Saccharomyces cerevisiae S288C: one gene and its partners. The gene in region 3 interacts genetically with the main gene of each other region. Each region holds a gene or a part of one and is shown on either strand. Other genes may lie near its edges. The genes, in order: TIR3, RTR2, ATX1 and DOG1.

The links.
Region 1: mutations in ATX1 (region 3) and TIR3 together harm fitness more than expected from each alone (negative genetic interaction), as found in Saccharomyces cerevisiae (one large-scale study listed by BioGRID).
Region 2: mutations in ATX1 (region 3) and RTR2 together harm fitness more than expected from each alone (negative genetic interaction), as found in Saccharomyces cerevisiae (one large-scale study listed by BioGRID).
Region 4: mutations in ATX1 (region 3) and DOG1 together harm fitness more than expected from each alone (negative genetic interaction), as found in Saccharomyces cerevisiae (one large-scale study listed by BioGRID).

Annotation. Positions count from the first base shown.
Region 1 is NC_001141.2:329,716-336,233, reverse strand, and holds TIR3 (Tir3p), read right to left. Parts: upstream 2,508-6,518; coding exon 1,698-2,507; downstream 1-1,697. Other genes in the region: thioredoxin peroxidase DOT5, read right to left, coding at 705-1,352; YIL012W (uncharacterized protein), read right to left, coding at 2,882-3,223; ATP-binding cassette multidrug transporter PDR11, read left to right, coding at 3,792-6,518. UniProt on the Saccharomyces cerevisiae protein: Component of the cell wall. Required for anaerobic growth.
Region 2 is NC_001136.10:580,310-586,458, forward strand, and holds RTR2 (putative protein-serine/threonine phosphatase), read right to left. Parts: upstream 2,190-6,149; coding exon 1,599-2,189; downstream 1-1,598. Other genes in the region: 40S ribosomal protein uS15 RPS13, read left to right, coding at 1-143; RRG1 (Rrg1p), read left to right, coding at 378-1,475; OCA6 (protein-tyrosine-phosphatase), read right to left, coding at 2,482-3,156; DOS2 (Dos2p), read left to right, coding at 3,404-4,336; ubiquitin-specific protease DOA4, read right to left, coding at 4,630-6,149. UniProt on the Saccharomyces cerevisiae protein: Probable RNA polymerase II subunit B1 C-terminal domain (CTD) phosphatase that regulates RNA polymerase II transcription. May have functional redundancy with RTR1.
Region 3 is NC_001146.8:153,830-159,454, forward strand, and holds ATX1 (copper metallochaperone ATX1), read right to left. Parts: upstream 4,037-5,625; coding exon 3,815-4,036; downstream 1-3,814. Other genes in the region: POL2 (DNA polymerase epsilon catalytic subunit), read left to right, coding at 1-1,051; ORC5 (origin recognition complex subunit 5), read left to right, coding at 1,271-2,710; ribosome biosynthesis protein LTO1, read right to left, coding at 3,030-3,518; DSL1 (Dsl1p), read right to left, coding at 4,280-5,625. UniProt on the Saccharomyces cerevisiae protein: Copper homeostasis factor that specifically transports copper to the secretory pathway for incorporation into copper enzymes destined for the cell surface or extracellular milieu.
Region 4 is NC_001140.6:192,141-198,633, forward strand, and holds DOG1 (2-deoxyglucose-6-phosphatase), read right to left. Parts: upstream 2,669-6,493; coding exon 1,928-2,668; downstream 1-1,927. Other genes in the region: NCP1 (NADPH--hemoprotein reductase), read left to right, coding at 1-478; DOG2 (2-deoxyglucose-6-phosphatase), read right to left, coding at 665-1,405; DDE1 (Dde1p), read left to right, coding at 3,411-5,093; inositol monophosphate 1-phosphatase INM1, read right to left, coding at 5,258-6,145. UniProt on the Saccharomyces cerevisiae protein: Phosphatase that is active on 2-deoxy-D-glucose 6-phosphate (2-DOG-6P), as well as on fructose-1-P.

The DNA of each region.
Region 1 (6,518 bases), on a different chromosome or scaffold from region 3:
AATCGGGATAACAAGTAAACAATGCCGAAAGTAATTCTGGAGTCTCATTCAAAGCCAACAGACTCAGTTTTTCTACAACCATGGATAAAGGCATTAATTGAAGACAACTCGGAGCATGATCAATATCATCCCTCTGGCCATGTAATTCCTAGCTTGACCAAGCAGGACTTAGCGCTACCGCATATGAGCCCGACAATTTTAACCAATCCGTGCCATTTCGCCAAAATTACAAAATTTTATAACGTTTGCGACTACAAGGTATACGCATCGATAAGAGATTCCTCACACCAAATACTTAGTTGAGTTTTCCCAAGAGTGTGTATCTAATTTTGAAAGGACTCATAATTGCAGGATCACATCTGAGACGACCAATTGCTTAATGATCATTGGCGATGCTGACTTAGTCTACGTAACAAATTCTCGAGCAATGTCTCACTTCAAAATTTGCCTAAGCAACATTTCGTCCAAAGAAATAGTGCCCGTTCTCAATGTAAACCAGGCCACGATATTTGATATTGATCAAGTCGGATCGTTAAGTACTTTCCCATTTGTATATAAATATTTATGACCTTCTGCAGGCTCGATATTTTATAAGTGTGAGAGAGTTAGAATATCTTCGTTTATCTACATATATAAAGGGAAGGGTTTGGAATATTTTACCGATAAGTACTCCTCTAGAGAAACAAAAAGGGGGTTATTAAACTTCATTCTTCTTTAAACTTTTCAGCGACTTCTAAAACCTCCTTTTTGGCGTCATTTACACTAACTTCTGGTGATATCTTAACTCTTTTGAATTTTAACTTCCCATCAACAAAAATGAAATGCGATCTAATAGAACCAGAAAGTGGCGTTTTTTTGGCTCCTAGCAACCCAATAAACTCTCTCTTTGGATCGCTTAGTAAATGATATGGCAAATTTTGTTTACTCTGAAACTTTTTCTGGGATGTCACAGAATCTGCACTCAGTCCAAAGACAGCAGCATATTTCTTGAGTTCCTGGTAATTGTCACGAAATCCACAGGCCTGTCTAGTACAACCAGGCGTGCTTGCCCTGGGATACACAAAAAACACCACAACTCTGTTATTTTCGGTGATTTTCTTCAAGGAGATAGAGTCATTATCTTCATTTAAAAGACTCAAATCAGGAATAGGATCGCCTATCTCTAATTCGTTAACATCAGATGACCTATTTGCCTCTTGAACTACTGCTTGATTAGCGTTATGTTTAGGACCCGTCTTGATTTTCTTCTTAGGCACTTCCGGTGTCGAAATAGGGGCCAGTTTGGACTCTTCCTCTTCCAACATTCTTTTGGATATTGCAATCCTGGTTGATCTACGTAGTGCTTCACCCATTCTATTAAGGAACTTTAATATTACCTGTATAAAGCTCGTAGTATTACTTCATCCAGTGGATGTAATAACAATGATATTTCTCTTCCCTTTTCTATATCTTTTTTTTCTCGACGGCTGCTACATGGCACAGCCGTCTGTGGATTTCATGCTCTTGCTCGAACATTCCTTTTTTTAATGTACAGCCAAGTGTACATTACAAGAGTAAAGAAAAAAGTGTGAAGAGAAAGCAAATTAAGTTTGTATTATCTAGGAGACAGTATATTAAAATAGGATACTAATATTCAAAAAGTGTATATTTGTTTTTTTACATATAACATTTTATAATTTATCATTAATAAGTGACAATCATAAGAGCATAGCAGCGGCACCGGCAATAGCGGCACCAACACCAGCGGAGAAGAAGCCCATGTCCATAGCTGCACCAGCGTTCTTGGAGGTAGCAGAGGAGGAGCTATTAGTAGATTTTTCTGCAGAAGAGGAGGCCTTTGCAGAAGAGGAAGCTGCAGAAGAGGCCTTGGAAGAAGCAGATGAAGCAGCAGATGAAGCAGCAGAAGAGCCAGAAGACTTGGCAGAGCTAGAAGACTTAGCAGCTTCAGAAGCAGAAGAGGAGGCAGCAGAAGAAGATTCTGAAGCAGAGGAAGAAGCAGCTGAAGAGGATTCAGAAGCAGAAGAGGAGGCAGCTGAAGAGGATTCAGAAGCAGAAGAAGAAGCAGCTGAAGAGGATTCAGAAGCAGAAGAAGCGTCTGAGGAAGCAGTGGCAGATTCGGAACCAGATTCGGAAACGGTTTGACCTAAGGAGGTAATACTGATACCCGCGCTTTGTAAAGCAGCGATGATTTCAGGTTCCAGTCTAGAAGAGTACCAAGGCACTTGAACCATGGCAGTGGTGATTTGAGCAAAGTCCATTTCGGTGAAATAACTGGTGTAGGAATCATCAGTAGCAGTGGTCATATGTTGGTAAACATCCAAAACACCAGATGGTAGGGTAAAGTCTGGATTATTCATTGCCAAGGACATATATTGTTCCAAATTGGCCTTGACATCAGCCAAAATAGCGTCAAATTCGACGATTTCATATTGTCCAACTTCAGCAGAAACCAATTGAGTGGAGGCAGCGGCAACAGCTAATAAGGCAGCGATTTTAGTGAAAGACATTGTTGTGTGTGGGCGGTTGAACAATTGGATCTGGGGAACACTAAAAAGAAAAAATCAAACAACCAGCAAGAAAATCTGCAGTAGAGAAAGGAAGAGGAGACGAAACGCTTATACTCTCCACCAAAGAATATATGTATATATATATTCATATGTACGTATACTGCCTTCTCAGACGGAAATCTGCAATCCATTCTAGGGCCTTCTAAAAAAAAGCCTACAGAAATCATGGTAAACAGGAACAATGGGTCGCCTTAAGGCACGCATATCTAAGAAACGTGTGCAGAAGCGGTAGGGTACACGTTCCTATCGTTCCATTTGGAGTCTACACACGTTTCCAACCTCTGCCTTCAGTCACAGTTTCTGAGTAACCTCGCTTACAAAAGAAATTTTTTTTCCCGCAAGGCGAAGTACGCCTCGTATAAGGCCAATGTCTCGTATGGGTGATGTAGGGCAGAAGCCAATGTCTCGTTCAAATGAAATAATGAGCTAATTAGGCTCCAAGTTTTACCACCTATCTGACGATTCTCTCTCTGCGTATAAGAAAAATGTTGAAAAAGCAACATTTTGCGCCAGGAAAAAAGCCCAATCATGGAAGTGGTGCAATACACATTCCAACTTACACACCGAGATTCTCCTGTCGTTATATTTCCACTTTGACGCCCCTTTATGCATCTTACTAATATTAGCTGTTCGAAGTACAGCTTACCTAGGCACATGTACTTTATCTCTCGAATTTTCCTGCTCAGTTTCTCCTACTCAAGTCTCTCCTAGTCTCTAAGGGAAGGCACCGTCTAGGACAGTGCCGGGCATCCTTTATGCAAGGGATATCCCCCCGCAGCCTTCTCCGTCCGTTTTCGTTTAGGCACTTCGCACAGAATTCACCGCAGAGAAGCGCCACATAGACGGCCACTTTTGTTTCCTACAACTTCCACTCTATCGTTTGGGGCCCGTGCCTTCGACTTTTACTCCATTGTGCTGCGGTTTTTGTTTGGCCTCGAACTTTTCCTGTCTGCGGATCTCCTGGTTTGGAAACAAGCTTTCCTCCATAGGCAAAATGGATACTACGGTACGAAGTATTTTCCGCAGATCCTGCTCTCACCTATATAAAACAACATACAACATCGTAAAGCTCTCTGCTCTTTTAGCTATTAATAGTATTATCACACACTTAAACCCTTTTCTCATTAGTTCGTAAACGGGTTGGTAAAAAGAACTTGCATACTGTAGCAAAAAAATTCACAACTAAACACGATAGAGTAAAATTAGAGAAGCAACGCCTCGCGGATGTCTCTTTCCAAATATTTTAATCCAATTCCTGACGCTTCAGTCACCTTTGATGGGGCTACCGTTCAATTGGAAGAATCCCTCGGTGCTGTTCAGAACGATGAAGAGTCCGCATCGGAATTCAAAAACGTAGGCCATTTAGAAATTAGTGATATCACTTTTCGTGCTAATGAAGGTGAAGTCGTCTTAGTACTGGGAAACCCAACATCAGCGCTCTTCAAAGGTCTATTCCATGGTCACAAGCATCTGAAATACTCGCCTGAAGGGTCTATTAGATTCAAAGACAATGAGTACAAACAGTTTGCTTCCAAATGCCCCCATCAGATCATTTATAATAACGAACAAGATATTCACTTCCCGTATCTGACGGTGGAGCAAACCATTGATTTTGCGTTGAGTTGTAAGTTTCACATTCCCAAGCAAGAGCGTATTGAAATGAGAGACGAGTTATTAAAAGAGTTCGGACTGTCGCACGTAAAGAAGACGTATGTGGGTAATGACTACGTTCGTGGTGTTTCTGGAGGTGAAAGGAAACGTATCTCCATTATAGAAACGTTTATTGCCAATGGGTCTGTTTACTTATGGGACAACTCGACGAAGGGTTTGGACTCTGCCACCGCCCTAGAATTTCTTTCCATTACCCAAAAGATGGCAAAAGCTACAAGATCGGTGAATTTTGTTAAAATTTCTCAAGCAAGCGACAAAATTGTCAGCAAGTTTGACAAGATTCTTATGTTAGGTGATTCCTTCCAGGTGTTTTACGGAACCATGGAGGAGTGTTTAACCCATTTTCATGACACCTTACAGATAAAAAAAAACCCTAACGATTGTATTATTGAATATTTAACATCAATCTTAAATTTTAAGTTCAAGGAAACGTCTAATTCCATTGTTGGTCTTGACACTCCATCTGTTGTTTCTGAAGAAAATCAAGCTTTAAACATCAATAATGAAACAGATTTGCATACATTATGGATTCAGTCTCCATACTATAAACACTGGAAGGCCATCACTTCAAAAACAGTGCAAGAATGCACCAGAAAAGATGTTAATCCGGATGATATCTCCCCCATTTTTAGTATTCCGCTAAAGACGCAACTGAAAACGTGCACTGTAAGAGCTTTCGAAAGAATCATTGGTGACAGAAACTACTTGATTTCTCAATTTGTTTCTGTTGTGGTGCAGTCTTTGGTTATTGGGTCCCTTTTTTATAACATTCCCCTGACAACAATTGGTTCGTTTTCTAGAGGATCTTTAACTTTCTTTTCCATCCTATTCTTTACATTTCTTTCTCTCGCCGACATGCCTGCTTCCTTTCAAAGGCAACCCGTCGTTCGTAAACATGTCCAGCTCCATTTTTATTATAATTGGGTGGAAACTTTAGCAACAAATTTTTTCGATTGCTGCTCTAAATTTATACTGGTGGTTATTTTTACAATCATACTTTACTTTTTGGCCCATTTACAGTACAATGCAGCTAGGTTTTTCATCTTTTTGCTTTTCCTTTCCGTCTATAATTTTTGCATGGTGTCACTATTTGCATTAACTGCTTTGATCGCTCCAACTCTATCAATGGCAAACCTATTGGCCGGTATCTTACTGTTAGCCATTGCCATGTACGCGTCCTATGTTATTTATATGAAAGATATGCATCCATGGTTCATATGGATTGCATATTTGAATCCTGCTATGTTTGCCATGGAAGCCATTTTGAGTAACGAATTGTTTAACCTGAAACTAGACTGTCATGAAAGTATTATTCCCAGAGGTGAATATTATGACAATATTTCATTCAGTCATAAAGCTTGTGCCTGGCAAGGCGCTACCCTAGGTAACGATTACGTCAGAGGCCGTGATTATTTAAAAAGTGGATTGAAATACACTTACCATCACGTGTGGAGAAATTTCGGTATTATCATTGGGTTTCTGTGTTTCTTCCTATTTTGCTCTTTACTAGCAGCGGAATATATCACGCCTCTGTTTACTAGAGAAAATTTATTGCGCTGGAATAACTATCTCAAAAGATACTGTCCCTTTCTGAATAGCCAAAAAAAGAATAATAAAAGCGCTATTACCAACAACGATGGCGTATGTACTCCCAAGACCCCGATAGCCAATTTTTCCACTTCATCCTCTTCTGTTCCATCAGTCTCGCATCAATACGATACTGATTACAATATTAAACATCCAGATGAAACTGTTAACAATCATACTAAGGAATCCGTAGCTATGGAAACGCAAAAGCACGTCATCTCCTGGAAAAATATCAATTATACCATTGGAGACAAAAAATTGATCAACGACGCTTCTGGATATATAAGTTCCGGATTAACTGCCCTAATGGGTGAATCTGGTGCTGGTAAGACAACTTTGTTGAATGTCTTGTCTCAAAGGACCGAAAGCGGGGTTGTTACCGGTGAATTATTAATCGATGGACAGCCCTTAACGAATATTGATGCATTCAGAAGAAGTATAGGGTTCGTTCAACAGCAAGATGTTCATTTAGAGCTCTTAACTGTGAGAGAGTCTTTGGAAATTTCCTGCGTCCTAAGAGGTGATGGGGATAGAGACTATTTAGGAGTTGTTAGCAACCTATTAAGATTGCCTTCGGAAAAACTGGTTGCTGATTTATCTCCAACTCAAAGAAAATTATTATCTATTGGTGTTGAATTGGTCACTAAGCCTTCTCTGTTGTTATTCCTAGATGAACCTACTTCAGGGCTAGAC
Region 2 (6,149 bases), on a different chromosome or scaffold from region 3:
ACAGAAAGGACAAAGACGCTAAGTTCAGATTGATTTTGATCGAATCTAGAATTCACAGATTGGCCAGATACTACAGAACTGTTGCTGTCTTACCACCAAACTGGAAGTACGAATCCGCCACTGCCTCCGCTTTGGTCAACTAGAGTGTTTAAATCATTTATTTCATTATTTTATATGTATATTTTGTATAACTAAAATTGATTTTTTAAACATCTCTTTATAAACGATAAGTTGCATTTTATTTTATTTCACTATTGCTAATTTTTGTGTCCGTTTCTAACTTCAAAGCTGCTCCCAGCCTTTCCTAAGGTTTTCAGTTACCAAGTCTGCCTGAGAAAGCAACAGATTAACACTTTTGTAATGAACAAGTAGAAAATATGGCTCAAAATTTTGGAAAGATTCCTTCTCACAAGTCTTACGTATTGAGCTTATATCGGACCGTTCTCAGAAACATTCCAAAGTGTTGCCACTCATATGCGTTTCAATATGAAATAAAAAAAACACTTTCAATACAATTGTTCAAACACAAGCATGACAAGTCAAGTTGGAGTGTTTATACTTTACTCAATGAATTCAGTTTGTTGAACAATTGCCTTTTGGAAGGTAAATTACAAGAAATCAAAAACTTAATGAAGCCATTAAAAAAGATGAAAAAACAACTGAAAACAACGAAAATCCTCAACTCTTTGACTTCATTAGGGGATGTAAAGACCAACGACCCAGAAGAAGTAAGAAGATTTCATGTTCTAAGTGCTTACATTAAGCGAAAACAAGATTTGGGCCTTTTACCTGCATACATACCAAAAACGTATCAGCACAAACTCCTATTACCATTAGCATTGAACGAACATGCGTGCCTGAAACTATTTCATATTCAGCAAAAATTGAAAAATGGCCCACCTTCTGCTGGGCTGTCATATACAAAAGAAGGAAGGAATCAAATATGGTTTGTTCGGTCACCAATTAACAAGGGCAGACAACAATCGAAAAAGCTGGGAATATTGATACGAAAAGAAAGGAAGGATTCTCAGAAAAATATCGATAATCTCAATTTTTGCGAAATTAATGCTGCTTGGGCATTACATGAGGCCATTTGGGAGGAATATCTAGAGTCGAAAAAGATTATTAAAGTAAACTTACCGAAATACTTGGAATACGCTGCAAATATCCCAAAGTCTACTAAATGTAATCCTTCGAGTCAATATCAGAAAGTTAAAGAATGGGTAGATCCCGTGAGAGAAATAATGTTCGAATTACATTCCAAAAGTTTTCAAAGAGTGGAGTACTTTAACAAATATAAGGAAAAGCTTTTAAAGAACGGTGGCCAACTAGCATATTTTGATAAAAAGTCAAAAGAAATGTACGCCAAACGGTTGACACTATTCAGAAAAATGAGCAAAGAAACATTACCATATGTGACACTCTTTATAGAAGGGAGGGACTTGCCAAGTGTTTTGGCGAAATACGGTTTTTAAGTGCAAAAGTTGCGTGAATCAGAAAGTTTAATAGAAAATTTACTGGTTACTTCCATTTCTATGTAAATAGTCACTCGTATGACCGCGATAAGGATCCTGATGAAGACGATTTAATTATACTTCCTATTCTATACAGGTTTCCTCATCAGTAGTCAACTGTCCAAAGTACACATCCAATGGTAAAGGCTCATTCTTGTAGGTATCATCAAACTCAAGATCCTTGAAACTCGTTATCAGCGATTTGACGGTATCTATAGGTACCTCACTTCCAACTAATTCTTCTAAAAGGCTTACCGAGTACATATCATCAAACTCTAGATTAATGTAACTAGTTAAATGCACGCCTCGCCTTTCATGCAGAGGCGTTTGTGATAACTGTCTCATTAAATACAACGAACATTTACTGTGATAATTATTACAATACATTGAGTGGATAAAGAAGCCATCAGATGAATTTTCTGCCGCACTCTTATAGCATAGCGGGTACCCACATATTTTCTTTCCCCTTCTTGCATTAATAACATCCATATAAGACATCGGTGAAAGTAGCCGTGCTAAGTATTTTAATGTCTGCTCATTTTCGCAAAATGATTCTGTGAGCATTGAAACTATGGCAGATTCAATCATTCGGGCTTCCACTATAGATAATTGCTCATGTAATTGGTGTGATCCTAAAATTACTTTTTGAATGAACGTAGTGGTTATTATCTGCATTATGGCTTGCGTTGCTCCTGTCCTTCTAGTATAAAAATAAACCTATCACTTTTCTTAAATATGCTGCAATTTTTCCAGAATGCCTCCTTGCTGTTGATAAATGGCTTCCAATCTTCGCCAATACTAGAATGTGACCGGCTCGTCTCTTTTGTAAAGTCGATGTAATTTTCGTTGGACTTTTCAATGGCATTTGATATTGAAAAAAATGATTATCAATGCTGGAGGGCCCGGCTAAGACTTAACCCTGAAGCTTCTGTCTTTACAAAATATTATATGAATTTATCCCTGAATTTTACATACTATGAAATTTTAGTTTTGGCAAAGAATTTGACACGCTACTTACTCTTGCAACTTTTTCAGACGCATTAGCATCATCAACACGCAACTCATCTTTTGATTCTGTGGCTGTCCTTGCAATATATCGCACGGTAATCCAGGGAACTTTATCCTTTATATCCAGATCGTCAACTTCGATTTCAGAGTTAAAGTTTTCAATGAAATTTCTTTCATGAATATTGATGCTGGAATTATACACCAAAAACTCATTTAGTATGGATACCGTACTCCAATATGAAAACTTTCTCATACATGCTACTACGAGAGATATTATCAATTCACCATTCGTACAGTGCATATAACAGGGGTAATGCCCTTTATCAATCAGAAATTTAACGCATCGTACTACAACATCGTATTCAATAGGAACTGTTTTCTTTTTCCTTTTAATCTTGGGTTTGGTCTTGTCTGCCTTTCTTTCACTTTGACATTTTATATGAATTGTCTTAATGTTATTTTCTTCACAAAACTTTACCATTAGAGGATCAGTGCTCAAAGGTTCTGGTGTCAAAGATAATATGTATTTCAATCTAAGGGTTCTCAGGAATGGGAGATTGATTTCTCGTGGGTAAGATCCTCTATATAAATTTGGCTGTACAGTCGAAAATTGTAACGGAGTCACTAGTGTCATTTTGATACATATAGCTTATTCTAGATGTGTGAACTGGGTATTCATAGCAATTGTGAACCCATAGTTTATATTGGTACTCCTTTCCTTCTTAACAGAGTCTCTTTTTTTCTTTCGCATTTTTTTTGGCCTTACATCAAATAGCGGTGATTAATGATAAAAAGCACTTAGCAGAAGTCATGCAACAAAAAAAGAACACAACATAAGGGTACAGCTAGTGAGCTCCATTGCTTCGACGTTTTAGGATAAAATGGAATTCTTTTATGAAGAACAAGTAGCTTGTATCGAAGATGATAAAATAAGCAACTCTCATACCAAGGAAACTGGATCAACAGAAAACACTGAAAATAACGAACTTCAGAGCCGAGATGACAAAACAAATGAGGCCTTCCAAAAGTTAGAAGAGGAAGTCAATAAACGATATGAAAAGACTACAAGTGCATTCAAAAAGTTAGTAATCGAGAAAGATGACGGAATTGAAATTAACTTGCCAATTAGCAATGAAACTACAGAGACTGCACAAAAGTATTTGAAGAAACTAGACGAGAATATTCACAGCGTGGAAAGTCTAGCCCAGTCATATTGGAGCAAAATGAAAACTAAGAATTTTTGGTCTGGCTTCAGTAGCTTCGATAATGCTGCAGAAAATGACTCTAATGACAAGGATGAGAATTCGAAAGAAAATGAAATTGCTGTGGGTGGAAATAGAACAGAAGCCGAACTAAGGACATTATCTAAAGATAAATCGGTTTATTTAGACAATAAAATGGATTTGCAACTGGACCCGTTTGACGTGGATGAAAAAACTGAGGAGATATGTTCTATTTTACAGGGCGACAAAGATATCTCCAAATTAATGAACGACATCGTACCCCATAAAATCAGCTATAAAGATTTCTGGCACATCTATTTCTTACAAAGAAACAAAATTCTAGATAAAGAAAGTAAAAGGAAAGAAATATTGTCCAAAAAGGAAAAGGAAACGGAGGAAAAAGAAGTTGAGTGGGATGACGAAGAAGAAGAAGAAGATGATGACAAAGTAGAAGCAGTAGCTGACAACAAATCTAAAGGGGAGACGAAAGTTGCTGTGTCTCAAGAGGGATTGAAAGATGTTAGTGACCATGTTGGCCTCGCCAACAAGGATGAGAGCAAGGACGACGACGACGATGATGACTGGGAATGAGTGATTTTTTTCATATAAAAGATATATGTAATGCTATAAATATTTACATACTTTTCATGACGTATTATGGTAGAAAGGAAAATCATCAATCCAAGAGATGCACAGGAGGAAGACAAAATCTGGGCGTGATCTCATCTTTACACCTTCTAAAAAAAAGTTCGTTTGTTACCGTTAAAATAAATCATTTGTATTTAGGGTTTTTTACTTTGACCTTAGATGGAAATAATGATATGCCATGTTGAACGGGAAAAAAAGTGTATAGACAACGGTTTTCAGTTATTTATTCAAATGAATCAAACACCGTAGACGCGGTGATAAAACAAAACGTATGCATTAGAGTTAATTGCATCGGCTTTGTTTTTGACAGGTTTATATTTGGTATCATCAAAATATAGCCATCCCTTCTTTAATCCCTTTTTCACATAGGCTGTATAATGACCACCATACAAAGTACCAAAGTGGCATGCTACACCATATAATTCATACTTAAAAGGTGGTATTTGTCCCCTTATTGGTAGTTCATCGTCATTAACACCTGGAGGAAAAACCCCGTCAAAATCATTGGCCCAAAATGGAGTCAAGTCCAACAAAAAAGGGTATATGACGAAGTCATTATTTTTGTTTAATAAATTATCAAATCTCTTTAAATGGACTATCAGATTCCTCGGTAATCTCGTTATTGTCAATTGTTTCGTGGAGGGCTGCCTTTTTTCACAATGTGGGCACAACCATTGCTCATCCACTTCCAAGTTCTCACATTTGGTGAACTCTCTGAAACAATCTTCAATGGTAATATTATTTCGGGAATTTTTTTTAGGAATAGGGATTGACAGCACCGTAAAAGGTTGGTATGTTGTCGAGGTATGACTACAGACTTTACATTTTAGTCGTGAGGCGTATTGTCCCTGAAATAAGTCGACAATAACACTGAAATCAGTAGTCAAGAATCGTTCCCACTCAATTGACGAGGCAATTCGCAAAGACAGTTTTTCTCTTCTCGCCTCAGCTTCTTGAGAAAGCTCCTTCAAAGGTGGGTTTGAACCGCATTGGTTCAAGTCTTCATGAAGACCATCTAGAAGGAATTGGCAAAACTCTTGGCAGTCCTGTTGGGATGCAGTCTTAAATAATGAGTTAACAGATCCACATGCCAATTTAAATTTTATCGGTGATATGGAAATTTTCTTTGAACCATCAACCTGTTCCTTATACATCATATGAACCAACCTTGCAAAATATTTTGCCAGAATACCTTTCGATCCCAACTTACTATTAATATTGATGTGTTTAGCATATGAATCGTCCAAAAAGATTTGGGTTAATTCGTGTGTACCTAAGATACACTGAATGATACAGTTCATGTAACACGAATTTCCTAGATTTTCCAAACCAACCGCGAAATCAAGGTCATAATTATGAGAAGAAGTTGGTGTAACATCTGTATGATCTAAAGAGTCATTATTAGACAAGGATAGACACGAAGGTTGAATGGTAGAGGTGGCAGAACTGTGTCCATTGGAGTTCATATTAAGGTTCATACTAATTGTTTGCGGGAAGCGTTGTAACTTCGGTGTGGCAGTTCTTGATGGAGAAGTGATGGCCTTCGTGTTGATAGGAGCTATGTGAGCAAAAGAGTTGTGATTCAACTGTTCTCTTTGATTTGTCATAAAATCTGTCTCACTGTTTTTCCAAAGATGTGGCGTTTCCGGATAATTGATTGGCAATGAATTGCCCTTAACTGGGTCAGGCGAATGTAGAGGTAAAGGCGATGGTGAACTAGATATGGACAACGAAGATATAGAATATAAGTTTGAAT
Region 3 (5,625 bases):
CTCACCTGAAAACTGTTACGCCTACAGCCAATATATGATGAAGGCAGTTAGAACAAATCCAATGTTTAGTTATCTGGACTTAAATATCAAACGTTATTGGGATCTGCTAATATGGATGGATAAGTTTAATTTTAGTGGATTAGCATGTATTGAAATAGAGGAAAAGGAAAATCAGGATTATACCGCTGTTTCGCAATGGCAACTAAAGAAGTTTCTGTCACCAATATATCAGCCCGAATTTGAGGATTGGATGATGATCATATTGGATAGTATGCTAAAGACAAAGCAGAGCTATCTAAAATTGAATTCAGGGACGCAAAGACCTACCCAAATAGTTAATGTAAAAAAACAAGATAAGGAAGATAGTGTTGAAAACTCGTTGAACGGATTTTCTCACCTTTTTTCCAAACCACTAATGAAAAGAGTCAAAAAGCTTTTTAAAAACCAGCAAGAGTTCATTTTAGATCCTCAGTATGAGGCAGACTATGTTATTCCTGTTCTTCCTGGTTCCCATCTGAATGTGAAAAATCCCCTTCTAGAACTTGTCAAATCACTCTGCCATGTCATGTTACTTTCAAAGAGTACAATTTTAGAAATCAGGACCCTGAGAAAAGAACTGCTGAAGATATTTGAATTGCGTGAGTTTGCTAAAGTAGCGGAATTCAAAGATCCAAGTTTGAGTCTCGTGGTGCCGGATTTTTTATGTGAATACTGTTTTTTCATTTCTGATATTGACTTTTGTAAGGCAGCTCCTGAATCTATTTTTTCATGCGTCAGATGTCACAAAGCCTTTAATCAAGTATTGTTGCAAGAACACCTGATTCAAAAACTACGTTCTGATATCGAATCCTATTTAATTCAAGATTTGAGATGCTCCAGATGTCATAAAGTGAAACGTGACTATATGAGTGCCCACTGTCCATGTGCCGGCGCGTGGGAAGGAACTCTCCCCAGAGAAAGCATTGTTCAAAAGTTAAATGTGTTTAAGCAAGTAGCCAAGTATTACGGTTTTGATATATTATTGAGTTGTATTGCTGATTTGACCATATGAGTAAGCAGTATATAACGCGAGGTTCAATGGCCTCTTTACCATGAAAAAAAAAAAAAAAAAAAAAAAAAGGTAAGGAAAAAGAGTATTTTCAATTCGTTTCTGAACATATAAATATAAATAACCGAAAAATTAGCCCTTGAACATAATTAACACTCTTCTTTGATATTTAAATCACAAGTACTTTTCTTTTATTTTCTTCTTAATACTTTTGGAAATAAAATGAATGTGACCACTCCGGAAGTTGCTTTTAGGGAATATCAAACCAACTGTCTCGCATCGTATATTTCTGCTGATCCAGACATAACTCCTTCAAATTTAATCTTGCAAGGTTATAGTGGAACAGGAAAAACCTACACTTTGAAGAAGTATTTTAATGCGAATCCAAATTTGCATGCAGTATGGCTGGAACCTGTTGAGTTGGTTTCTTGGAAGCCCTTACTGCAGGCGATAGCACGTACTGTACAATATAAATTGAAAACCCTATATCCAAACATTCCCACCACAGATTACGATCCTTTACAGGTTGAAGAGCCATTTCTTTTGGTAAAGACGTTGCACAATATTTTTGTCCAATATGAATCTTTGCAAGAAAAGACTTGCTTGTTCTTGATATTGGATGGTTTCGATAGTTTACAAGATTTAGACGCCGCACTGTTTAACAAATATATCAAACTAAATGAATTACTTCCAAAAGATTCTAAAATTAATATAAAATTCATTTACACGATGTTAGAGACATCATTTTTGCAAAGATATTCTACACATTGCATTCCAACTGTTATGTTTCCGAGGTATAATGTGGACGAAGTTTCTACTATATTAGTGATGTCTAGATGTGGCGAACTCATGGAAGATTCTTGTCTACGTAAGCGTATCATTGAAGAGCAGATAACGGACTGTACAGACGATCAATTTCAAAATGTAGCTGCGAACTTCATTCACTTAATTGTGCAGGCTTTTCATTCTTATACTGGAAACGACATATTCGCATTGAATGACTTGATAGACTTCAAATGGCCCAAGTATGTATCTCGCATTACTAAGGAAAACATATTTGAACCACTGGCTCTTTACAAAAGTGCCATCAAACTATTTTTAAGCACAGATGATAATTTAAGTGAAAATGGACAAGGTGAAAGCGCGATAACCACAAATCGTGATGACCTTGAGAACAGTCAAACTTACGACTTATCAATAATTTCGAAGTATCTGCTCATAGCCTCATATATTTGTTCATATCTGGAACCTAGATACGATGCGAGTATTTTCTCTAGGAAAACACGTATCATACAAGGTAGAGCTGCTTATGGACGAAGAAAGAAGAAAGAAGTTAACCCTAGATATTTACAGCCTTCTTTATTTGCTATTGAAAGACTTTTGGCTATTTTCCAAGCTATATTCCCTATTCAAGGTAAGGCGGAGAGTGGTTCCCTATCTGCACTTCGTGAGGAATCCTTAATGAAAGCGAATATCGAGGTTTTTCAAAATTTATCCGAATTGCATACATTGAAATTAATAGCTACAACCATGAACAAGAATATCGACTATTTGAGTCCTAAAGTCAGGTGGAAAGTAAACGTTCCCTGGGAAATTATTAAAGAAATATCAGAATCTGTTCATTTCAATATCAGCGATTACTTCAGCGATATTCACGAATGATTATCTCCCTGGAAGGTATCCAGAGGGCAGGATACGTTCGAAACAACAACTACGTTATATAAATATTTATACATAGTGGGATAGAATGAACAATTATCAAGTAAACCTTGTATTTTTTGTTCCCACGCTCTACGCTCTGTTTCTTGGATATGGTAATCAAAGATTAATACGTATAACCGTTATTAATTCAGTCCACTAGAAACTATTAAAAGCGCCCTACTGTATGGAAAAACAATGAATGAGGAGACTGAACGGCGCAAAATTGTTAGTTTAGTTGCTCTTTTTGGCGGCCGGCGATAATGTTCTTCACTTGGTATTCTTACCAGGATTGAGCCTGATTTTGTTTTGTCTTATTCTTTGCGATGTCTTCATTTTCTACAAAACCTCTAATTTCTCCGGCAATGGCCCTTGAAACGTCTTCAAAGACTTCAAATGTCACGGTGGGGGTTCTTTTATCTTTAACTAATCGATGAAGAGTTATTAGAATGGTTCTAAACTTATTTTTCAATTTTATTAACACCCTCTCAAATTCCATCACACTTTCATCATCGTTATTCATTTTCAAACCTTTCATTAAAGTACGAATGGTATGTATATTCTTTTCTAGTGTTGGACTATGCAATCCATACGATTCTATAACATCACACAAACCTTCCATTTGTCCCAGGAGCGTAAATCTTTGGAATCCCACTTGTAAACCATACTGTTTACCTTCTAGAAAGCTCTGCTTTATATTCTCATTCTGGCCCTCCAGAAAACCTTCTTGGTAATACTGTTCTTCTAGGTTTAGTAAATTATCAAAATCCATTTTTATTTGTCCAGTGATCTTTACTTTCCATTTACTCTTCAAATATGATAAGTGATTTGATTTAAACAAGTTTTTTTTCATTTTTCTTATAAAACGATTTCTCACCATGATTGAGATTTTTATATTAGTAAGATTATACTGAAAAGGCAAATGGCTACATAGCCAACAAAGAATAAAACAATAAAACAATAAAAAAAGACTTTTTTCTTCGTAAGCATCCTATTGAGAATATTAATCATTTACTTAAGTAGCTACAATACAAAATAGAGTAAAAAACTATTTCTCTTCACTTTCATTCACAATTGTTTGCCAGATCTAACTTCCTTTCCGGTTTTCTTAATCTTTTCTAAAATAAAATCGTAAGGAAGTGTAGTATATACATCTACTAATTGCTTTTCAAGGGATATATCTATTTTGGAAACGTCTGGTTCTAATTTCGTCAAAACTTTATTGACTGCACCAGAACATCCCGAGCAGGTCATGACGACATTGAATTGATAATGTTTTATCTCTGCCATCTTTTGCGCTAGTTCTCTCTTGTGTCGTTGGAAATCTCATCCTGCAATGTTTTAAGATGATTCAAGTCATTTAAGAAGCTCAAAAATGCACTACAAGATGTGCCAACTTTGCACCCCCAAAAAAAACTACCGCATCACGTGAAATTTATTAGAAAACTGAAAAAAAGACAACTTACGCATACGTAATACAAGATGTACATCTATTGCAATGATCATGTAACCTATCCTACGATTAATTATTTTTTAATCATCTAGAGCAGTGCCTCTAATTTCGTAAATATCATCAATGGCATTCCTTCGCAGGGGAGTGTCGGCAAACAATAACTCTATCCATTGGATTAGTTCGTCTGTCGCAAAAAGATAAAAATCCCCATTGTAAAACATCTCCATAATCTCCTTTAAATGTAATGGTAGAAACTTGCCCATAGTGGCGAATTTTTCTCTCATCTTTTTGTAACTTGGTTCCTTCGCTAATAATTGTATATCGGTGTTGTTCACTAATAAAGATACGAGCTCACCCAAATTTTCGGAATTGACCTCAGAGATAATCTGCCATTTTAATATTTCCTTTGTCACGCAATCGTTATATAAAAAGTTTAAGAAAGACAACAAGTAACGGGAACCTTCTTCACCTCTTATTTTCTGCAGTGGACGAACAATTTCCTTCAAGATATAAGGTAGCAGTTTCTCAATGGTGGCGTCCCACGATGGATTTCTCTCGTTCTCACGAAATTCGGTCAATTGATGCCTGATTAGTTGACAGACAATACGATATTTCATGTTCAGTTTAGTTTCCAGCAGGTTCCTTGTTAATTCTTTTATTCTATACAGCTTTTCATCTCGTTCTATTAGATATCTCATATCCACATATAATTGGCACCAATTGTGAGAAAAATTAGCTGTGCACATGGCCATATACGATGTCTGCAAAAGGTTGTATTTGTACGCAAAGTATTGCTCATCAACATGGCTATCTGCAAAGCTACTCTTGAAATTCTGTGAAATTGCCAAGAACAATTTTGGTAACTGTGTAACTTCAATGTGGTCTTTATCAAGTGATCCTACATCATGAGCTTTTAAATGTTCCTTTCCATTTTCTAGGGAAGCATCATCTATATTTTCGTCAATTGCCCAGGCTTCATCCCAGGCATTTTCTTCTTCTTCTGGTTCTTTTTCCTTCTCTTGATTTGTTTTTTCTTCCTCGTCGTCAATATTTACATCAATTTCATCACCCCATGCATCGGCATCATCATCCTCTACTTCCCAATTCCAATCATCATCTTTGGATACGGCATTATGGAGTTCTTTTTCGTTCTGTACATCTGAATCATTTTTTCCAATTTTTTCGCTCATCGTATTAGTATTGCTAGTAGTGAGCTCAACTACTTCCAAATTTTGCCAGCTCTTTTTTGGATCTTCAAATATACTTCTTATCTCACTAATATGCGATTCAAGAACTTTATCTAGTAATAAATTGTAGTATAATTGTTTGTTCATTAACAAATCCTGAATCTCTTTACCGGAATGTGTCCAATTGGTAACTTCTGATTTGGCAACTAGTCTAGTTAGTTTGTTATTTATGACAGAAA
Region 4 (6,493 bases), on a different chromosome or scaffold from region 3:
CACCCCAGTTATCATGATCGGTCCAGGTACCGGTGTTGCCCCATTCCGTGGGTTTATCAGAGAGCGTGTCGCGTTCCTCGAATCACAAAAGAAGGGCGGTAACAACGTTTCGCTAGGTAAGCATATACTGTTTTATGGATCCCGTAACACTGATGATTTCTTGTACCAGGACGAATGGCCAGAATACGCCAAAAAATTGGATGGTTCGTTCGAAATGGTCGTGGCCCATTCCAGGTTGCCAAACACCAAAAAAGTTTATGTTCAAGATAAATTAAAGGATTACGAAGACCAAGTATTTGAAATGATTAACAACGGTGCATTTATCTACGTCTGTGGTGATGCAAAGGGTATGGCCAAGGGTGTGTCAACCGCATTGGTTGGCATCTTATCCCGTGGTAAATCCATTACCACTGATGAAGCAACAGAGCTAATCAAGATGCTCAAGACTTCAGGTAGATACCAAGAAGATGTCTGGTAATCAGCCCACTGATCAAGCCTTCGGCGCGGTTGTTCAACCACACGATCTGTATCAAAGAAAAATAAGTTAGATAACCAAAAAAAAAAAAAATTTCATACTCACTATAAGAAATCATACGCAGTTCAACTTTTGCTTTTACATACAATTTTATCTATATATTCGTGCTTCTGCGATGTCCTTATTTATTTAATCTCTCGTCAAAGGGTTGTTTACCTGGATAACGATACCGTTCTCATTGTTCTTAACCACGGAAACCTGTGTCAAATCACAGACCACATAATCTGCACCTGCGTCAAATAAAACGCTCTTATCATACGAGGATGTTATACCCACAGTAATTGCGCCCATTGCTTTGCCGGCCTTTATGCCCACGGGTGCATCTTCAAAGACAACATACTTCAGATCCTGTTTACCAGTTAATTGCAAATCTTGACGCAATAAATCACGAGCTCTTGAGTAACCCTCGGGATCAGGCTTACCGTTCTTCACGTCAAATCCAGTAATGAAAACTTTGGGCTTTCCAACATTTTTCAATATTGTCTCGAACCATGAAAATGCCAAATATGGAGAACCAGAGGTAACGATAGCCCATTTCCTTTCAGGTAACTTTTTTTGAGTCTCAGTATCTACATCTAACGATAACAATAAATTCTCTGCACCAGGGATAAGGCTTACTGTGTCCAAATAATTATCTGCCATATCCTTTTCTAACGCAAGAACACCTTTATTATCGGTATTGTCCAATTTTGGAAAAAATTTCTTCATCATTTCTTGTGATCTTGCACCATGGGAATGCTTGAATAACTCAACAGGATCAACCCCATGCTGACGGCATAATTTTTTCCAGGCACTTTCCGCTGCAGTTGTTGTGCTGACAATAGTCCCATCTAGGTCAAAAAGACAAAGATCTACTGAAAATTGTGGCATTTTTTTTTTTTATTTTTTTGACGTAAATTTTTTATGTATATAGCAGTAAATGTATCGATAACGTGTTGGCTAATACTATAGTGAATAACAAAAAGTACTCTTAGTCTCCTTTTAGCATTTGTTTTCACCAAAGAAGATGTTGCCAGCGCATTTTAAGTTTTTGAAAAATCCTCGAGAATTACCCCTTCCCCACATTTAAAAATAATGACGGAGCGTATTCAATCTACGGAACTATTCTCTACGAGAAATAATAAGATCATTACGTAGTTCTTACATCCTGACGCAATTGTGATTAAAGATAATGATACAAAACTGAATACAAAGCATTCCAACGAAATACAGTTGATGGAAGTGTTTTGCGCTAAGGAAGATTAACATATAACCACACAACCATCTTCGAAGAAAAACTCAAAAAAAATCTTACCTCTTCAGTACCTAAAATGACATACATAATTCGACTTTTTGCTTGTCCATATGTTTTACATCTATATATATTCGTTCTTTTGTCACATTTTTGTTTACTCAGGCCCTTGTCAAAGGGTTGTTTACCTGGATGACAATACCGTTTTCATTGTTCTTAACCACGGAAACCTGTGTCAAATCACAGACTACATAATCTGCTCCTGCGTCAAATAAAACGCTCTTGTCATACGAGGATGTTATACCCACAGTAATGGCGCCCATTGCTTTGCCGGCCTTTATGCCCACGGGTGCATCTTCGAAGACAACATACTTCAGATCCTGTTTACCAGTTAATTGCAAATCTTGACGCAATAAATCACGAGCTCTTGAATAACCCTCGGGATCAGGCTTACCGTTCTTCACGTCAAACCCAGTAATGAAAACTTTGGGCTTTCCAACATTTTTCAATATTGTCTCGAACCATGAAAATGCCAAATATGGAGAACCAGAGGTAACGATAGCCCATTTCCTTTCAGGTAACTTTTTTTGAGTCTCAGTATCTACATCTAACGATAACAGTAAGTTCTCTGCACCAGGAATAAGGCTTACTGTGTCCAAGTAACTATGGGCAATATCTTTTTCTAGAGCAAGAACACCTTTATTGTCTGTATCATCCAATTTAGGGAAAAACCTTCTCAAAACCTCTTGTGTTCTTGCACCATGAGAATGCTTAAATAACTCGGAAGGATCAACACCGTATTCGTAACACAACTTGGTCCATGCTTTCTCTGCGGCCACTGTTGTACTCACTATGGTACCATCTAGGTCAAAAAGACATAGATCAGCTGAAAATTCTGCCATTATCCTTTGAACTTCTTACGTGAGTGGCAACGTAACCAACAATCTCCATCAGAACGTTATTTCCAACAGAATAATCGCGATCATTAAAAATGAAAATAAAATTAAATAAAATACTTGCAATAAAAAAGTTCCATGAAATTTATATCATTAGATGGTACCAGAGCCTATAATCTCATAGATATACGCTTCCTTCTATAGCTGAACAACGGTTGTTTGAAATGTCGGGGTTAATGTCGGAATATATAGGAATACTCTGACGTGTCTGTATCACGGAACATAACCGTGATTGAAAATTACAAGAAGCCAAGACTCTAAAGGATATGCGGTAGAAGGCGTGTGTAGAAGAGCCCAGTGTATATTTTTTCACCGATAAGATGAAGTAGATAAACGGAATTTCTGGCAAGTTACTTGGCAAAAGGATACATAGCACGAATTACTTTATTATAAATATTGTAACTGATTGCCTTGAATTGATGTTAATGAGAATCCTAGGACCCTTGGTTTGGTCATTAGCTTTTCGTTTTTCTTTGCGCGTCGTTAAGAATGAAAAAGTTCTAATATGTATCGTATCATAAACGACAGCAACTTCGAGAAGTACATTGAATGGAAATCATTCTGCAACACCTTTATAGCTTCAACATAGGTTAAGTTTTAAGCATTTCAAGTGCTTTTCAATTAAGCTATAGAAAGTTCTTTCGTTAGAAAGAAAGACAGTTAAACAAGCGGCAAAAGTTGATGAGCAATGAATTGGTCTTTTCTACTACAGCTGGTAATAACAATATTGTTAATTGTGCTGGGCGCCAACTGGTTGCTAAGCTCTTTTCTACTTGATTTTAAGAGAGATTTAACAGGGGTGGCTTTGTCACAGCAATCTAGCATATCCAGTGTTCGTAAAGAAAATGAAACAGCATATTATCGAAGCATTTTAGTGCCCACAGGATTCCCATTGACGACAGGATTAGGGCTATCTTTAAAATACAAAATAAGAAATGGCAATTTCGGTGATGTTTGGAATGCCATAATGGAAGTTTCCAAGGGAAAAAACATAATTAAATTTACAGGAAGAGAAAAAAGTTATTCGTTGAGTGAACTTAATGGTATGGCCAAGCGCATATTTCCGAAACTTTCCAATAAGAATTTCAAAAATATCGGTATAGCTAATTCTATTGCTACCGTAGAGGGTTTTACTCTCTCCTTGGCTTCCATGATGACCTCTATAAGAACAGGTTCAATACCTCATTTCTTGCCAGCTGTTCCTAGACAACGACTAGAAGATGTTGATGTCCTGATCATCGACTCATGGAAGTCTTTTAAGATGCTAAACGGCAGCGAGGATTGGTACAAGCTTATTGTTGTTTGCGATGATCCTATCGAATCACTACAATTTGATGCGAACTGTGATGTTATCACTTGGAAAGAACTTATCGACGGTTTTACCAAGGATACAGAGTACCAATACACCCCGCCAGATGACAACTCTGATGATAAGAAACTTTTTGCATACGTAACTTCACCATGGAATGGAACTAATAGTTTTAATCAAATCTGTCTGGTGAGTAATATAGCGGAATTCATCAAAGGGTTCCCCTTGGGAAATGAATTGAATAGTAATGAATACCTAACCATTTCGACAAAATTGGCAAATTCTAGTGCAAGCCTACAAATTTGGGGAAAGCTTTTTGCAGTTTTGCTGCATGGTGGGTCTGCATCTTTCATCAATCCTACAACGATAGATTGCGAGTCGTTGCAAGAAACTACGTTACTGTTTACCGAAACAAAGGATGTTGTCAAATTAATTGATTCTAATTCTAGAAGTGGGCTGCTGAATAAAATCTACTTATCCTGGGCCACGAACTTACTGAGCGAGGGTATTTTTACGAAAATTGCCAGAATCGAGCCACATTCTCTTGAAAAATTAAGATGTGTTTATTTGGCAGATAATGTGAAAGATGCTGAGGTTATTTCGACATTTCCTGAAAAAATTCCTCAGCTAAAAAAGACTAACCGAAGAATCACCCCAAGCACTGAACAATTGAATAAAATAAGAGCTCAATTAGGATCCCGTGTAGTCCTCGAGTTATATTGTCCCTACGCTATCATGGGACCTGTGGCACATACCAATTTTTATGACTATAGGGTTTTTGGAAAATCTGTGGACGATAACGTTGTATGTTATGGAACACTAAGTACAACATTAGAAGGAAAAATGGTAGAAACGGAAACAAACCCTCATTTGAACATAGAGAAGAAGCAGGGTATGTTATGTATTCGTGGTTTTAGCATAGGTAAACCAGTAGAGTCCGATCGTTTAGAGAAAGCTTTGCATTTAGCTGAAAGGTTTGGAGGAGGTGAAGGATGGATGCCTCTAGTTGGCGTTTTTGGACTATTTGGCCAAGACGGTTGCTTATACATCTATAATCAATGAGCATTATCTATCGCTTTATTATTTATTATTTATTATTATCATTATTATTATTATCATTATTATTATTACTACCAATACCTTCTATATCCCTGTGATCAGCTAAAATGATTCAAATAACTGTCATTTTAATCGTACATTTTATATTAGGCCTAATGTGCTGACGATCAGTCATATTTCAAATGGCCATCAACACAGTTCCAAAAGTCTGTGATATATTTTGTTTGTTCGTCACTTTCGTTATTAATTGTTCCCCTCACAGCCAAATATGTCCTATTGTCGACATCAATACTCCATTCACCTGGATTGGCACCTACTACACGACCGCCCACTTCTTTCAAAATACACCATCCAGCACACACGTCCCACGAATAGCAACCACCATCCCAATAACTATCAAGGTACCCCATAGCAATATATGCCATTGTCATTGCAGATGATCCTAAATTTCTGAATCCATGAACAAAACCGTAATCACATGATAGTAATTTTTCATATGTGGCCATTTTTGTCTGAAAATTCTTTCCCTCTCTAGCGGAACCTGGCTGTAATGCCACTACGGATTTATTTAGTATTAGAGAACCCATAGATTCCAATTTTGATTTATAGTCATAGTCCTTGTTGTTAACTCTCATCCCATTTCCTTTAGAAGCGGATACCAGAAGATTAATGTGAGGATTATATATAACGCCTACTACGGGCTCTTTGTTTACTGTGAGCCCAAGAGAGGTACAGCTAAATGGGAAATCATGAACAAAGTTTGTAGTCCCATCAATTGGATCAATAATAAAGGTAGGATCATCAGTAATCACGGTCTCCCCTTTCACATAACTTTCCTCTCCAATAAACTTGAAAGTTGGATATTGGGTTTTTACCGATTCCCAAATTAACTTTTCGACCTGTTTATCGATAGCAGTTACAATATCAACGCTCCTGGAGCCAGTCTTCAAGTCATAATCCTTTTGAGTGCCGGACTTGGATTTGATGATTGGTCCTACTTTTTCAGTAGCCAGTTCACAGAGGAATTTCTCGATAGAAGCTAGATCAATGGTCATGGTATATGTGTATATGCGTGTACCAGCTGTTGATTTCCTTATTCATCCAAAAAAAAGAAAACACTGGGGTTATTTAACAAGCAGTTAAATGTGAAGTAAGAGATAAAAGACCTATATTAATACCATTTTTGGAAAAGCAACGTGCGCAACAATGAAAGTCACTCGATGCATCCATTATTCAAAAAAAAGTTTTTTTTTTTTTTCCATACATCATCAGATGAAAAAATCTCGCTATGACGCACGCCAGTCAATATTCACTCAGTTCTTCCGAAAGGAAGCAGAAGAAAGTTCTCTATACTTGGAAATGTGTCAATGAAGATGTTATCAGATTCATTTTCTGCTAGCTAC